2 linked regions of the Xenopus tropicalis genome follow. The protein of the gene in region 1 binds, or shares a complex with, the protein of each later gene. Links are inferred from orthologs where the notes say so. Each region holds a gene or a part of one and is shown on either strand. Other genes may lie near its edges.

The links.
Region 2: the proteins of ogdh (region 1) and tcaim are in contact, whole or in part, in a cryo-EM structure (PDB 8I0K), measured with the Homo sapiens proteins. The link is inferred for Xenopus tropicalis from reciprocal best matches to the Homo sapiens genes OGDH and TCAIM. Residues at the interface, in NP_001425937.1 of Homo sapiens: Gly301, Tyr304, Arg323, Tyr354, Arg356, Ile358, Arg364, Asn365, Lys387, Glu391, Tyr394, Cys395, Gly396, Thr398, Glu399, Lys401, Lys402, Lys561, Met602, Pro605, Glu667, Gly668, Ile669, Asn709, Met734, Ala735, Ser736, Pro737, Asn738, Gln772; in NP_001269842.1 of Homo sapiens: Glu214, Gln234, Arg235, Ser236, Trp237, Gly238, His241, Ser244, His247, Ser248, Arg251, Gln255, Asp272, Arg273, Thr286, Met287, Asp288, Val289, His290, His291, Glu331, Leu332, Gln333, Pro334, Val335, Arg375, Tyr376, Glu441, Ser443, His473.

What each region holds. Positions count from the first base shown.
Region 1 is NC_030679.2:126,363,092-126,370,806, reverse strand, and holds part of ogdh (2-oxoglutarate dehydrogenase, mitochondrial), read left to right. Parts: intron 1-4,898; coding exon 4,899-5,014; intron 5,015-5,280; coding exon 5,281-5,435; intron 5,436-5,528; coding exon 5,529-5,675; intron 5,676-6,146; coding exon 6,147-6,237; intron 6,238-6,728; coding exon 6,729-6,908; intron 6,909-6,992; coding exon 6,993-7,121; intron 7,122-7,392; coding exon 7,393-7,572; intron 7,573-7,715. UniProt on the Homo sapiens protein: 2-oxoglutarate dehydrogenase (E1o) component of the 2-oxoglutarate dehydrogenase complex (OGDHC). Participates in the first step, rate limiting for the overall conversion of 2-oxoglutarate to succinyl-CoA and CO(2) catalyzed by the whole OGDHC.
Region 2 is NC_030682.2:50,388,243-50,396,485, reverse strand, and holds the start of tcaim (T-cell activation inhibitor, mitochondrial), read left to right. Parts: upstream 1-3,064; 5' UTR 3,065-3,150; intron 3,151-3,256; exon of another isoform or gene 3,257-3,285; 5' UTR 3,286-3,330; coding exon 3,331-3,359; intron 3,360-4,166; coding exon 4,167-4,302; intron 4,303-6,062; coding exon 6,063-6,210; intron 6,211-7,394; coding exon 7,395-7,647; intron 7,648-8,243. UniProt on the Homo sapiens protein: May regulate T-cell apoptosis.

The sequences.
Region 1 (7,715 bases):
TAATGCATGTAGTGTGTGTATCCGGCTGGCGCCGTGTCTGCTTTGGGTGTAGGGCATGTTGGTTGGTGGCATGTCTGTGTGTGGTTTGTTTGTGAGTACAGGAAGCTGTACTGTTGGTGTATGTACATATGGCCACCAGGCATTTACTCTCATGTTTGCCAATTGTTCTGGAGATTGACTCTGTTCTGCAATGGACTGTGGACTGCTAGACAGTACTTGCCCTAGGTTAAGCTGTGAGGTGTTCCGGAGCTCTCCAGTATAACTTGTATGACTCCAGGTGCCACTCTTTCCATTGTGAGTTTCCATAAGTGACAACGCCACAGTTAGACTGTCGGTTCATTCTGGTCAGAACTGGCCTAGTACAGCTATCCCTCGGCTCATTCTGGTTAGAGCCAGGTTCCCTTCCTATAGTGCATTATTGCTGTCTGGAGCAGTGGATCCTACCTAGTTACCCTTCTGTGGCCCAGAGTGTGATGCACCCTCCTGAGTGGAAGCCACATTTTTCCAAGTGCCATCGGTATCCTTCATAGATCATAAAATAGTCATGTTGCCTTCCTTTCTCTCGTACAGTAGTTCTGCCATGCTTTATGGCACAATCTAGGATTATAACAGCATTTAGACCATGTTTGCATCGCTGCAGGATTCTGAGCCCTTATCTGGATTAATTAGTACAGTGACTGAGATCTAGAACGCTGTTCCCCCTTGAGCCGATATATTATAATTAGTGCAGTGCTGCCACTGCCAGCCCCTGTTATGTCATACGTTAACGGTAGTGAGTATTCGTTAGTGTCGGAAATATTTCCAAGCCTCCTGGCACCACTGTCTCCCCAATGTAATCCACACAATGATGCCCTGTAACCCATGTTGTGTTCCTGGAACCAGCAGGTAAGAACCTTGTGCTTGAGAGGTTATAGGGTGCACGGGACACTACAGCTGCTGCAGGGCTACACTGGCCAAACACATACTGATAACAACAGCACGTTGGGGGGGAATTATATATGTTATAAAAAAAAAAAATAGAATGGTGTCCATGTATTACCCCGCATACAGTATCCGGCCATTCAGTCTATGGGATAATGTATGTGATTGGGACCGTTTCAGCCCTCCGCATCATTTTTAAAAAAACGTTTGCCCCAGGTAATGCAGTTTTATACATTGTGTTCCGATCTTTAAAAAAAAATTATGGAATTTTGTTTTTTAGTGAAGGATTATTATCGTTTGGGGTGAATCCAAAAAATAGTTTTTGGCATCTTACTAACAGATTTATTTTGTGTACATATTGAGGGTTTTAGTTGTTGGTTACTATGAGCAGGCAGGATGAAGGCACTGACCTATAGTGAGCTCTGGTGCATGCTGCCTGCCCACAGCAGCACTCACGGCCAATAAGCAGTCAGAAGGATACACGCCTCACCTTCACTCAGTCACCACCCCATCTATCCACTCACATGCATAAACCCATACTGACCTATCTATACACTCACATACAGACCCATACTGACCTATCTATCCCCTCACATACAGACCCATACTGACCTATCTATCCACTCACATACAGACCCATACTGACCCATCTATCCACTCACATACAGACCCATACTGACCTATCTATCCACTCCCATACAGACCCATACTGACCTATCTATCCACTCCCATACAGACCCATACTGACCTATCTATTCACTCACATACAGACCCATACTGACCTATCTATCCACTCCCATACAGACCCACACTGACCTATCTATACACTCACATACAGACCCATACTGACTTATGTTGCTTACAAATAAGTTTCTTATGATGTTATGCTATAACTGCCCCCGTGGGCCTGGAATGACAAAATCGAGTCTAGGAGGAATTTGTCTCCATTTGACTATGGGAGGGTTTAGTCCACAAGCAGGAAATGGTTCAACAGATCCTAGTTGGATGTCGGTAAGTATCACAGTCACTTCATAAAGAGCTAAACCTTTGCATACAGGCACAGACATGGGATAACTGCACGTGTAATGTTTATCTGCCATTGAATTTCATGCACCCCCCCGCCTTCTTGTCATTTATATTAATGGAAGCCACTTGTCACTGGCTGTTTGTAAGGGGCCTGTGTTATCTGGTGCGTCTCTGTTGGCTAAAATACAGAGAAATTCTCCCTGTGCTATAAGCCTTAAATAAGGCTTCTGTGCAGGTCCTGCAGGAGCAGCATCTCAATTTCCTGATGCAGGAGGAGTCTTCTGGCGCTTCCCTGCTCAGTCATGCCATGTGACGCTTCCTGCATCAGAATCCTAAACTTCTGTCATTCTGTCCAGCTGGAACAGCAGGGGGTGCTCCTGTAACGCATTCATGATATCAACAGTGTAAAAACTGTGTGAAATCTAAGAAAAAGGTGAAGAGTATATTAAGTTAAATCTTGGGTATTTGTCCCTTTTTAGTACAATTCTCAAGCTCTGCAGTTATTTGTTAATCTGTTATGGCCTATGTACTATCATGTATTTATGGGATAGGGTTGAGGTTTTCCCACTACTCCCCTCATTGCCATCGCTAAGTTTGTTATAAGGATATAGATGTGTGGCCATTAACCTTGCATGTAGATCCAGCAATATCCAGTAAATTAGTGTCTACATTCCAGTTCCATGTCAGTAATACTATAATGCTCCTGTGCCTATGAGTCAGGGCATATACACTGTCCACTACTTTATTTTGTATTTTTTTTTTTAGTAGCAGAAGGTCCTTGGATACTTTATAGGAAGTTTTCTGTGTATTTGTTTGGCTGCTTATACACTTGAAGTATTAATTGCCTCTATTTAAGATGTTCTTTGTGCCTATGAAGCAAAGCGGGCCATCGGAAAGGCACTTTCGTGTGTCCTGGCACCGAGAATGTGGGAATGTCATGTGCATTGACACACAATTATGGCAGAATTATGGCTTGCACCTTGTACTGCCCCCTGGTTGTGCTGCAGATTTATTTAAAGTTTCCTCTCTGTTTCCCCCACATGCTGCACTCTTTGTCCTTCTCCCCATGCCCCCATGCTCCTCCTGTCTTCCCATTCCCACCCAGACCTGCAAGCATTCATGGACCGGCTGCGTGTTCTCACTGTGGGAGGTATGAACTATGTCCTTTCATAACAATCACGGCCCAAACCCACGGGCTGCAGTCGCATTTATTACAGGAACAGCGGGGCATGCTGGGGGTGGCACATATGGGAGATGCCTTTTAGCAAAGGCTACATGTTGCTTAGAACTGACTTGTGTGATCATTAAGCTTGCCTGTTAGCCGCCATGTATGGTTTGTGCTTCATGCAGTGAGAGTGAAGACTAGAGGCCTGGCTTCATTTATTCATTCACTGGCCTGTTTTTATTGCACCTCACATAGCAATGCATACATGGCAGAATGTGTCTAGTTAAGCTAGCTATTTGGCCTTCTGCTTTTAATCCCCATTGGTATACTCATGATGCAGGCAGTAATGCATAGGGGTGTAGCTTTGTATGAGTTGCTCTATTGCTTCCTGTAAAGTAAATGATACCGGCAGGCACTGACCCAAACAAGCATCATAAGGGAAGTATTAGTTATTACAGAAGCATATTAGGTACAAATAATAGCCATACACGTTTCAAGCTGCACAGATCTGCTTTTCGCCTGTTTATAAAGCCAAAAAATCCCCCACACCCTGTCCTCTTGCTCAATACCATCCTGTGATTGTAGAACATGGCTCTAGTAAGGCAGCCTGCCCTGATACAAACCAGAATGTTGCCAGCTTTAGGCAAGTATAAATGCCCTGAGCAAGTGGGTGCAGGGAATGTGACTGAAGGTCGTACTGTGGCCAAACACCAGAATATCAGTCCCAGGCAAGACTGTAATGGAGTTGGCACCGTGCCTGCATAGTGCAGAGAGTCCAGGCACATATCTCTCTTCCTGGGAAGTTATCAGGGAGCATGAAGGTGAAAGGTACAGAGTGCAAAGTTTATGCAGAATGCCATGTACCCCTGTCTTGTTTGGGCACAACCAGGCATAGTGCCCTCTATACAGAGGCTTTGCTGTGCAGTATACTTCTGCTCTCAACACAATACATTGGCTCATTACACTAGGGGAGGGGGGGGCCAATGGAAGGAACCTAAATAAATGACAGCCTAGCGTGCTCAGGAATTCAGTTTGACATTGGCAGTGAGACTCTGTGCCTGGTTACTCACATTCATGAGGATTCACCTAGAAGTCTTTAGAGGTTGTTTAAGTGCTATATGATGAGCCCTGGCTCTCTGGGGTGCGGGGGCTGCTTGAGTACTCCTGTGTGAAGCTGCTAGATCCTGTAGTTGAGGAGGGCACAGGGACCACACAACTTCTGCAAGTAGAACATGCAGCCATTAAACACAACCTGTTGTGCTGACTTATACACCTACCTGTGAGTGGGTGTGGGCCGACCCCAAAAACTCCAGTGTTGGCCTAGCTGTTTGGGATAAACTATTGGTTATGTAAGGTGATTATGAACTAATGTATATTTAGCTGTCCAGTTTTTTTTTTCTATTTGCTGCTCTCTTCTGTCTCACCTCCCTCACTCTGCCAAACTCATACACTAAATATACTTGGCACTGAAACCTCACCCAATGTAATACTTTACATTTGTACATTCTCCTTTTTCCAAAAATATAACCTGACAATGCTCTTCACATCCATACATATATATATATATATATATATATATATATTAGTGTGTGTGTGTGCAATATATATATTTGAGATAGCTGTCTCCTCCTTAACTCATTTCTGTACAATCCAACGCATTCCACTTGTCTGCCATGCTTCACTTTGTTGGTGCCCTTGTTCTGCAATATGGCTGTGCTTGCTTGCTGCATCCTTTTCTTCCTGTAACATTACCTGCATCTGTCTCTCTGACCGTCATGCACCTTAGGCTTTTATGGGCTGCAGGAATCTGACCTGGATAAAGTCTTCCATCTCCCAACCACTACATTCATCGGCGGCAATGAAATGGCTCTGCCCCTGAGAGAGATCATTCGAAGGCTGGAGGTGAGAGGACAGAGTTCTACATAAAAGCATAATATGTGTAGTCCAGAAAGTAGAAGGGCTATGACGCATGTGTAGAGAAATTCCATAGTGGAAAACCGCTGCTGCTGCGTTTTTCAGCATTGACAAGACTTGCATCTGCCTGAAAAGACTTGAGCAAGGGGCAGTAGTGGCACGGACAGACTGCACATGTGACATGCACTTAATGCACCATTGTCTGTGTCTGCACTGATTAATCATGGCTTCCTTCTACTGCCCTCCTCTCACAGACTGCATACTGCCAGCACATCGGAGTCGAATTCATGTTTATAAATGATCTGGAGCAGTGTCAGTGGATAAGGCAGAAGTTTGAGACCCCAGGAATCATGCAGTTTAACAATGAAGAGAAAAGGACCCTGCTTGCCAGGCTGGTTAGATCTACTCGGTAAGTGTGCTGAACAGCTTGGCTTTGTCCCATCAGTTACGAATCAATGACTCCTGTGAGCTTACACTTGGGCATAATCTCTCTCCTGCAAAGGTTTGAAGAGTTTCTCCATCGCAAGTGGTCGTCTGAGAAGCGCTTTGGTTTGGAGGGGTGCGAGGGCTTGATCCCTGCTCTGAAAACCATCATTGATAAATCTAGTGAGAATGGGGTGGATTATGTCATCATGGGGATGCCCCACAGGTATGTTCTACGTGTGTGTGTGTGTGTACTTTTGGAACCTTCTAGTTCTGCTAACTCAGTGTTGCCCCTGCAGTGGATCCCAGGCCTGGGCTTGGAGTCAAAATGGGCCCTGGCATTTCAAGTATATAGTGGCACAAACCGCCCCCCACCAGCCCAATAAATGGTAACTGTTTGTGGCATCTTACAGCAGCCCCTCTGGCATTTGCCCAACACACAAATTGCCAGTCTGGGCCTGGTGTGGATCCCTGTATATAAAGCTTTAATGAAAAACAGCCATTGTTCTGAGCCCTTTCAGCCTGTTGCACTCTTTCTCTACCATTTTCCTAGAAATAATGCACAGGCCAAATGACTATAACCACAAACATCTGACAGATCAGTTGTCCCAACATAACATGCCTTGGTTAAACTCACTGTTCCTTCCCCGCAGTCATGTGGGCTTTGCTTTAGTAACACTTTCCATGTGTCTGGCAGGGGCCGACTAAACGTACTGGCCAATGTGATTAGGAAAGAGTTGGAGCAGATTTTCTGTCAGTTTGATTCCAAACTGGAAGCTGCAGATGAGGTGAGTGACTCCCCAGTACTTATAGACAGGGGAGAACCAGTGCCAAATTGAGGGGTGGAAAACCTGGCGATGCTGGGTAAATGGCTTACATGATGAAAAGACAGGGACCCCCATCAACTGGTCAAAAAAGCAATTGCCTAAACTCGACAGTCCATCGTAATGAAAAGTTACTGGACCCGAAAGCAACATAAAATAATGTTGGTTATAATTATGTGTAAGTGCCCCTCTGGGCCACTATTTTTTTCTGGTTTTATCTATAGTTTGCGCACCTACTATGAAAAGGAACGGCCCCACCGAGGTAGTAAATAGGTACCCCATCCTTTTCATATTATTCAGGATTGCACCAGAGTGAGCTCCGTGGATAGTTAAGTGCCAGTAAATCCTCAAAAGTGAATTTTTAGGTCCTCATTATTTGGCTTCCAAGTGCTCATTCCATTGCTTGTGGGAATAAAGGATACAGGGCGCCTCTCTCACTGCTCTGTTCTTTGCAGGGCTCCGGAGATGTTAAATACCACCTGGGAATGTATCACAGGAGGATAAACAGAGTGACTGACAGGAACATCACCTTGTCCTTGGTGGCCAACCCCTCCCATCTGGAGGCAGCAGATCCTGTGGTCCAGGGAAAGACGAAAGCTGAGCAGTTCTACTGTGGGGACACGGAGGGCAAAAAGGTGGCCAGAAGATGACTTGTGGCATGAACAAAGCTGTTTGTTTAAATATGACTCTTTAAATAACACGTCTGTCTGTGTCCACAGGTGATGTCCATCCTGTTGCATGGTGATGCTGCATTCGCAGGACAGGGCATTGTGTATGAGACCTTCCACCTTAGTGACCTTCCCTCCTACACTACACATGGCACTGTGCATGTGGTGGTGAACAATCAGGTATGGCATTTAGTGTGTTCTGGGCAGGGTATTCGGCATAACAGGGTTATTGGCAAATAACATGGATTCAGCTGCCATTCCTGTTGTCTGAGCTGGACAGTGGCTGGGGTGTGCAGGTTTAATAGTAGTGAGAAATTCTGTGTCCTTCCATTGTATAAAGAACAGTGCTTACATTCTGTACATTCCTCGCATTGCTTCTTTACAGCGCTGTTTAATAATAACACCTAAATCACACCTCATTGCTTGACTGTGATTAAACCTTCCCCTCCAGATTGGTTTCACCACTGACCCTCGAATGGCCCGCTCCTCTCCCTACCCAACGGATGTGGCCAGAGTGGTGAATGCCCCCATCTTCCATGTCAACGCAGATGACCCCGAAGCTGTGATGTACGTGTGTAATGTGGCTGCAGAGTGGCGAAGCACCTTCCACAAGGATGTCGTGGTGGATCTGGTATGGGCTACCATTGTAACTGCTACAGGAACACTTCCCAAAACTTAGATTTATGCTTTATGGTCGCGTGCTAATGATGCACTTCAAGTCGATGTGAGCAGGGCCCTGACTACACTTTAGGTGACACCAGTGTGCCTACAGTT
Region 2 (8,243 bases), on another chromosome or scaffold:
GGGAGGAAATTCAAAAGAGACTTGAACATGTAAAGGTAAACAAAGGTCCAGGACCGGATGGGATTCATCCCAGGGTATTAAATGAGCTGAGCGCTGTGATTGCCAAACCTCTTCACTTAATTTTTCAGGATTCATTGAGGTCTGGCATGGTGCCGAGAGACTGGCGGATTGCTAATGTGGTGCCGTTATTTAAAAAGGGATCCCGTTCTCAGCCTGAAAACTATAGGCCTGTTAGTCTGACATCAGTAGTAGGAAAACTTTTGGAAGGGGTAATAAGGGATAGGGTACTTGAATACATTGCAGTTCACAATACTATTAGTTTGTGCCAGCATGGTTTTATGCGTAACAGATCTTGCCAGACTAATTTAGTCGCCTTTTATGAGGAGGTGAGTAGGAACCTCGATGCTGGAATGGCAGTTGATGTCATCTACTTGGACTTTGCTAAAGCGTTTGATACAGTACCTCACAGAAGGTTAATGATCAAATTAAGGAATATTGGCCTAGAACATAATATTTGTAATTGGATAGAGAACTGGCTGAAGGATAGAGTACAAAGAGTGGTTGTAAATGGAACATTTTCTAATTGGGCCAGTGTGGTTAGTGGAGTACCGCAGGGGTCAGTCCTTGGGCCTTTGCTTTTTAACTTGTTTATTAATGACCTGGAGGTGGGCATAGAGAGTACTGTTTCTATTTTTGCTGATGACACAAAATTTTGCAAAACTATAAGTTCCATGCAGGATGCTGCCGCTTTGCAGAGCGATTTGACAAAATTAGATAACTGGGCAGCAAACTGGAAAATGAGGTTCAATGTTGATAAGTGCAAAGTTATGCACTTTGGTAGGAATAATATAAACGCAAACTATCTACTGAATGGTAGTGTGTTGGGGGTATCCTTAATGGAGAAGGATCTAGGGGTTTTTGTTGATAACAAGTTGTCTAATTCCAGGCAGTGTCATTCTGTGGCTACTAAAGCAAATAAAGTGCTGTCTTGTATAAAAAAGGGCATTGACTCAAGGGATGAGAACATAATTTTGCCCCTTTATAGGTCCCTGGTAAGGCCTCACCTTGAGTATGCAGTGCAGTTTTGGGCTCCAGTCCTTAAGAAGGATATTAATGAGCTGGAGAGAGTGCAGAGACGTGCAACTAAACTGGTTAAGGGGATGGAAGATTTAAGCTATGAGGTGAGACTGTCGAGGTTGGGGTTGTTTTCTCTGGAAAAGAGGCGCTTGCGAGGGGACATGATTACTCTGTACAAGTACATTAGAGGGGATTATAGGCAGTTGGGGGATGTTCTTTTTTCCCATAAAAACAATCAACGCACCAGAGGCCACCCCTTTAGATTAGAGGAACGGAGCTTCCATTTGAAGCAGCGTAGGTGGTTTTTCACAGTGAGGGCAGTGAGGTTGGGGAATGCCCTTCCTAGTGATGTGGTAATGGAAGACTCTGTTAATGCCTTTAAGAGGGGCCTGGATGAGCTCTTGATCAATCAGAATATCCAAGGCTATTGTGATACTAATATCTACAGTTAGTACTAGTGGTTGTATATATAGTTTATGTATGTGAGTGTATAGATTGGTAGGTGTGGGTTAGGTGTGCTGGGTTTACTTGGATGGGTTGAACTTGATGGACACTGGTCTTTTTTCAACCCTATGTAACTATGTAACTATGTAACTCAGGGCGGGGGGGGGCATGCGACCGGGGGGTGGCCTCTGGTTTTCAAATCCGGCCCTGTACATAGAACCTTTGGGCCTATGAAAAATTGCATGCAACTCTTTTGATACTAATGATAGTTGCATCTTGGGACAGAATGTGTTTTTCACATCACACTTTTTGTTTTAATAATCTACACACTGTTTTTAAGTATTAACATATATGTACTGTATATGTATATTATGGAGTAAGAGGTACATCATATCTTGTACACAACTTTCCCACTTCTGTAAGATTTTTGTTACATAAAGATTTGGGGTGGAGGACCAGAAATATGGGTCAATATTGAAGTAGGACTGCTGACAACACACACCAGTTGCAAGTGAGGGTTACTGTTAAAGGAGAAAGAAAGGTAAAAACTCATTAAGCTTTATCAGAAAGGTCTATGTAAATACAGCCATAAGCACTCACAGAAACGCTGCATGAGTTCTCTGTCAAAAGATTTGTTGTGTCTGTAATTCATGTGCCACAGACACACAGCTCTCTGCTCCCCCCTCCCTCAAGAATGCTAAGAACTCACCCCCCCCCCTTAGGAATGTGGATCTGAGCCAATCAGCAGGAAGCTGACTCATAGGGGCACATTTACAAAAGCACGAACGCACAAGCGTTTATGCGAACGCTCCAAGCGTATTTTCACTGATTTTTTTGGGCGTGTGCACGACTTTTTTGTACGGCGCACGACTTTTTCGTACGCTGTACGACTTTTTCGGACGTTTGCACGAAAAAATCGGAAAGGTTTTACCGCTGTTTACAATTGTTCGGTACGAGAATTTCGTGACTTTCAGATCGCCAATACGATATTATCGTGACTAATACGATTTTTTCGTAAGCATTTTCGTGATATTTGCGATCTTACGAAATTTTCGTTTCCAATACGATTTTTTCCCATTCGTGATTTGGATTCGTGGATTAGTAAATGTGCCCCTTAGTCTTACTAACTGAGCAAGTTCACTTGGTCTCGGTCTCGGTTCAGGAGTGAGGCATTATGGGAACTTTCTTTGCACAGCTCAGTGTTTTTCTTTCTGTTTGCCTTCTGATAATGTGAACAGGAGAAATATGGGGAGACTTAAGGGCGCTATTGAGAGAACTGAAGGTATGCCCGCAGCTTGAGATTAACTCTTTATTAGCCTTTCCTTCTCCTTTAAAAATGTATGGTAGGACTACCATCTTTAATTTAGATCAATCTGTGAGTAACATGTATTTAGGACTATGACATATATAAATATATAGTGTAAATTTCCTGCAAATCAACAGTTACCTCTCTCAATTTACATCAGATACACTGATTATGTTGTCTGAAAATGCAATCCCTTGGCATTAAGTAGTTGATTATCAAATTTATTTATTTATTTTAGGAAAACCCATACCTATTTTACTGTGGCACTCATGATCAAAAAAAGGCATTGGATAAAAGGCTTGGGCTCAAACGTATTCCCACAAGTAAGTCTCTAAATGTCCTTCTACTTCCAATATCTTTTCAGGAATTCAAATTCCAGTTACTGTAATGCTTTAAAATGTACCCTTTGTTTACCTCTCATTAACACAGTTATTTCTCTCCATTGGTTGTGCCTGAAGGTACTCATTTGATTTCTGCATGTTGGTCTCCCCAACAAATTTGTCATGTTTGGCTGCTGCAGAGCCACAAAGAGGTAAGTTTACCCAATTTACTGTCCTTTGAAACAAACGGGTTTAAAACCTTTTTTAGTGCAGTTACCATGCTTAATAATTAGAGATACGACTAATTCTGTACATTACTCTTCACTGACACATTCAGGTCCAGATATGTGGCAAGACCACAAAGGCCTGGGCCTAGGGAGGCACAAATTAAGGGGCAGCACACTGCACAGCTGCTCCTGAACTTTACATATGCAGGGCCTGGGGACTATGTGCGCTGGAGATCTCCATGCGCCCTGCCCCCCGTGCTCCACATGTAGGAGTACATGGTCCTGTGGGAGGGGCAGGGAGCAACTGAGGATGGGCCCCTGGAAATCCGGTCCTGGACACGTTTGGCCAGTGGTGTGCTTCTCATGCAGCTTGAGTCCTCTTAAAATGTTTAATCTATATCCTAAAAGAGGCACAATTGTACTGCACACTTTTTCGATGGCACATGGATATTACTAGCTGTACACTGAAGACAATGATAATGTGAATTTCAATCAACTTGCCAGTCCAATATTGTAGTCTCTTGAAATTGGTTCTTTCAGCATTTTGCGTACACAATTTGTGATTTGGCTGATGTTACATCTAGTTCAGGAGGGACATGTCTTCCACATGGAAGGAAACATCACGTGCTTCATGTAAATTACCCCTAAGAGCAAGAACCAGGGCCTTCAGTATACCTTAGTCTCAATTTAGGAAAGGCAGTGAAATACATATTGGAGTCATTAATTTGCCTGTTATTACATCATTTTATTTGGCACATGGTAAATTTACTACTTTTCTTTTTCCCCTTTCAGACTTCCATGGGGGTCTCTATTACAGAAATTTGTTTTTCAAGCCAGGCCACTCTCGGGCGCAGATGCAGCCACAGCTCTAAGGCCATTTTATTTTGCTGTCCACCCAGATTTTTTTGGTCAACATCCAGTGGAAAGAGTAAGCATTTTGATATTTAGCACTAATTAAATATATTTTCCTTTTACATTTTGTATTTTCATTTACTTTGTATCTTTCTATATCATTCATAAGACAAATGTTTTCTAAGTTTGCATAAACATCTTTAAATCAAACATTTTGTATTTGGTCATTGCAACAGTGTCAGTGTCACTTCAGCAATATAACTACAGTCGCCCTCATCTCTCAGTGTTTGCTATTTCACATGAAATGTAATGAACAATTCTGAGTGCTGCACCAACCTAAGAGAGCTTAAATGAAAAGGAGAAGGAAAGTCATTTTGGCATTTTACTGCCAATAGATTTGCCACATTAGTGCCACCTAGAACAATATATTTATTCTGCAGAAACCATTACCATACCTGAGTAAACAGCTTTAGAAGCTTTCTCCTTTTGCTTAAGATAGCAGCTGTCATTTTAGGTAGCTTCCTGCCTGCATTCTAGCCGTTATAGCTGAGATCACACATTCCTAAGGGAGGGGGGAGGGAGTTCTTAGCATTCTGATGGGAGGGGGGAGCAGGAGAGAAGAGAGAACTGGGCAGACTCTGGCACTGGGAATTAAGGTGTTTCTGAGAGAGGAAGTCAGACACTTGAACATTATGTTTACAAAAAAAGAGACAAGAAATCCTGTGTTTCGTTTTTTGATAGAGAACTCAGTGCAGCGTTTCTGTGAGTGCTTATGGCTATATTTACATAGACCTTTCTGATAAAGCTTACTTAGTTTTTACCTTTCCTTCTCCTTTTAAGATACATGGCAGTACTATACCAAACTCCTAGACAAGCTTGCAGAGACACATATTGAAAAATGAAACCTCACACGGTGCTGCAGTGGTGCAACAACTTCGATAGCCAGATGCTTTATTTGGAGCCTTAAAGGAAAAGTAACACTACATTTTTTAAGTAAAAAAGCTTTTCTACCCTGCACCAATAACTGCCCTATCCTGCAAACCACTTAGTATTTTAAATGCTTTAATAGAAAATACCTGCGAAAACTTGACTTCCTGTCAATTGAACTACGGCGATACGGCGAAGGAAGGAGCTGCATCACTATGCGACAATCGATTGATCGAGTCTAGCCTTCTTTCTGTATAGGAAGGAGTCAGGCTAGGCTCGATCAATCGATTGCATAATGGTTGCTGCTCCTTCCTTTGCCGTATCGCTGTAGTTCAATTGACAGGAAGTCAACTTTAAGCAGGTATTTTCTATTAAAGCATTTAAAATACTAAGTGGTTTGCAGGATAGGGCAATTATTGGTGCAGGGTAGAAAAGCTTTTTTACTTAAAAAATGTAGTGTTACTTTTCCTTTAAGGCTCAAAATAAAGCATCTGGCTATCGAAGTTGTTGCACCACTGCAGCACCGTGTGAGGTTTCATTTTTCAATATGTGTCTCTGCAAGCTTGTCTAGGAGTTTGGTATAGTACTGTCATGTAATAGCTTTTTTACTTAAAAAATTTTAGTGTTACTTTTCTTTTAATGAACAGCATTCACATGTTATGTTAAAGGAATTTTGACACTTTCCAAAAACTATGCCTTTTGTCCTAGGAAGCGCTATGTGCAGCAGCAACAGCCTGACTACCATGGCTGAAAAAGGGTGCAGCAGCCATGATATTCAAGCAATTAAGGCAAAAAGTGCCATACCCAGGATATTGGTTGTTAGGGAGAATGCTATAAAAGGTGTTAGTATCCCTTTAACTCCTGACACTTTTTATTCTCATCAAAGCTGTACTGCTTGCCTCATTATAGGAAGTAAACGAAAACTCACTGAAAAGATTAAATGGCTACTTAGAAAATCTTCAGAAACCCGGTCAGAAATCTCACAAACCAGCTCAGCTTACATTTTATGTACGAGAAACAAACACCATAAATGATTCAGACACAATTCGAACCACAGGTAAGTGTCATTACATTCAAAATAAATCTCTGCACAACCACAGAATAAAAGCAGAGCATTTATCCATATGAAAAATGATAATGAGAATTAAGACTAATGTCACGCCTGCAGAATTGTCAGAAGCTGCAACTTTTCTCCGCAGAATTAGCAGTGCATCAGCATGTGCACAGTGTGATTCCCCTGCATATTCACAGTGATCTGTAGTTTTAGGCAAGAATTATGCATGTTTGCCCACAATTTAAAATATTTGGACACAATTCCGTACCTTTTGGTTCCAATATATTTTTCTTTAAAAGACACAGCTGCCGAAAGCTGTCAAATCTGGACTGACATTAACCTAAACCGTCCCTCCCAGTGTTTCCTTGATAACTTACTGCCAGATCTCAATAGGACTGGCTGGAAAATCCTGTTGGATGACTAATGCATTGGGCTGCGCTACTAAAACCAGATGTAACTTTATATACAGTCATTAATAACTCACATCATAATTTTCTTTCAGCATTATGGACATTATTTTAATATTTTTTAAATGTAATAGTTCCCCTTTACCAACTAAATTGTGGTTCACTCCTTTCCTAAATAAACATCTTAGCAGGCACTCAAAGGCGATGACTCAAATACAGGTTTGTCAAATGAAAGAATTTCCTGTTGAAACATGGAAATATTTGTTGCCTTACTCGTTTTGTGCTGTATCTAACTTAATCATAGGCACAAGTGTTACCTGGGCCCTCATATAGAGTGGTGAGTTTACTTTTTAAATCTATATGGCATAATCTTGAAGAGTAGTTGCTATACTGAACTCTAATTCAGGGAAGACACTGTCAGAGAGAAAAAAGTAACCCTGTAAGATCAGCACATGTTGTTGAATATTGCAGATTGTTGGAGATTACAGTTTCCATGTATCCAATGCTTTTCAGTGCTAGATGTAAGAACTGGGGGTTTGGTAGGTACAGAACTGGGATCTAGGGGGGTCTGCTGCCATTAGTAGCTTGTTCTCGCAATGAATCATGAAATAATACATGTCAACAGAATAAATGAAAGTCACACTTAAAAATGACTATAACTTTAGCATTTTTAGGTTATCATATTGATTTCGAAGTGAGGTTATGGATTCTTTTTTACTCTATAATGAAGTTTTAACCCTCTCGCATTTATAACATTTTCTTACTTGCTTTTCTTGATAGGGTTTCGAACCGTACATTTTACTTTGGATACAAGGGACTTGCTAAGTACAGTTCTGGATATTCTGAATTCATGCAGCTTATCTACTGCACATGTGAATACTGCAGAAGTAGGTATGGAGTCAAAACCTCACAAGGGAACAAAAGCAGCATTTGATAGGCCCATAAAATGGGACAAGACATATTACTCATTTACTGGTTTCAAGGACCCTGAAGAAGAGCTGGAGCAAGCCCAAAAAGTAGAGACAACAATTATGTATGTGTGTAGAAGTTTTTCTTTGCTGTAATTTTATTTGTCCTAATGTTGGTGTGTGCAGTGTTGCAATCCTCCAGCTATTGTTGTGAACCTCATAAACTTATCAGTGGACAATGGAAGTTGTTAGTTATTCCTCTTCTGTACTTTTGATTCTCTTTATGTCTTTAAGCCAAATCCGAATGTCTTACTATTTATACACAGACACCAAAATGTGTCTCTGTTTACTCTCACAAATAGGGTAGAGAGTAAACCTTCTTAGAGTCTAGAAAAAGTATGCACAAGGCACGGCAAACCTGGGGTAGCTGCGAGCTTTGTCTCCTCATCCTTGTTCGAGCACTTGCGCATGCGCAGTAGAGTGAATAGTGGAACTTTAACAAAAAAGTCGGCTTTTCACTCTACTGCGCATGCACCGGCCCTGGGATTTTGACACAGAAGGAAGAAGGAAGCACTTGCTGCAGGTACCCCGGGCTGGTGCTGTTTTCTCCTACCAGAGGCACCAGTCACTTGGGGGTGCCTAACATTTTGGCACCCCGAGTGACTTAGCCTTTCCTTCTCCTTTAAGACAGAGTTGTGTCTTGTGGTGTGTGTTTCTCTAG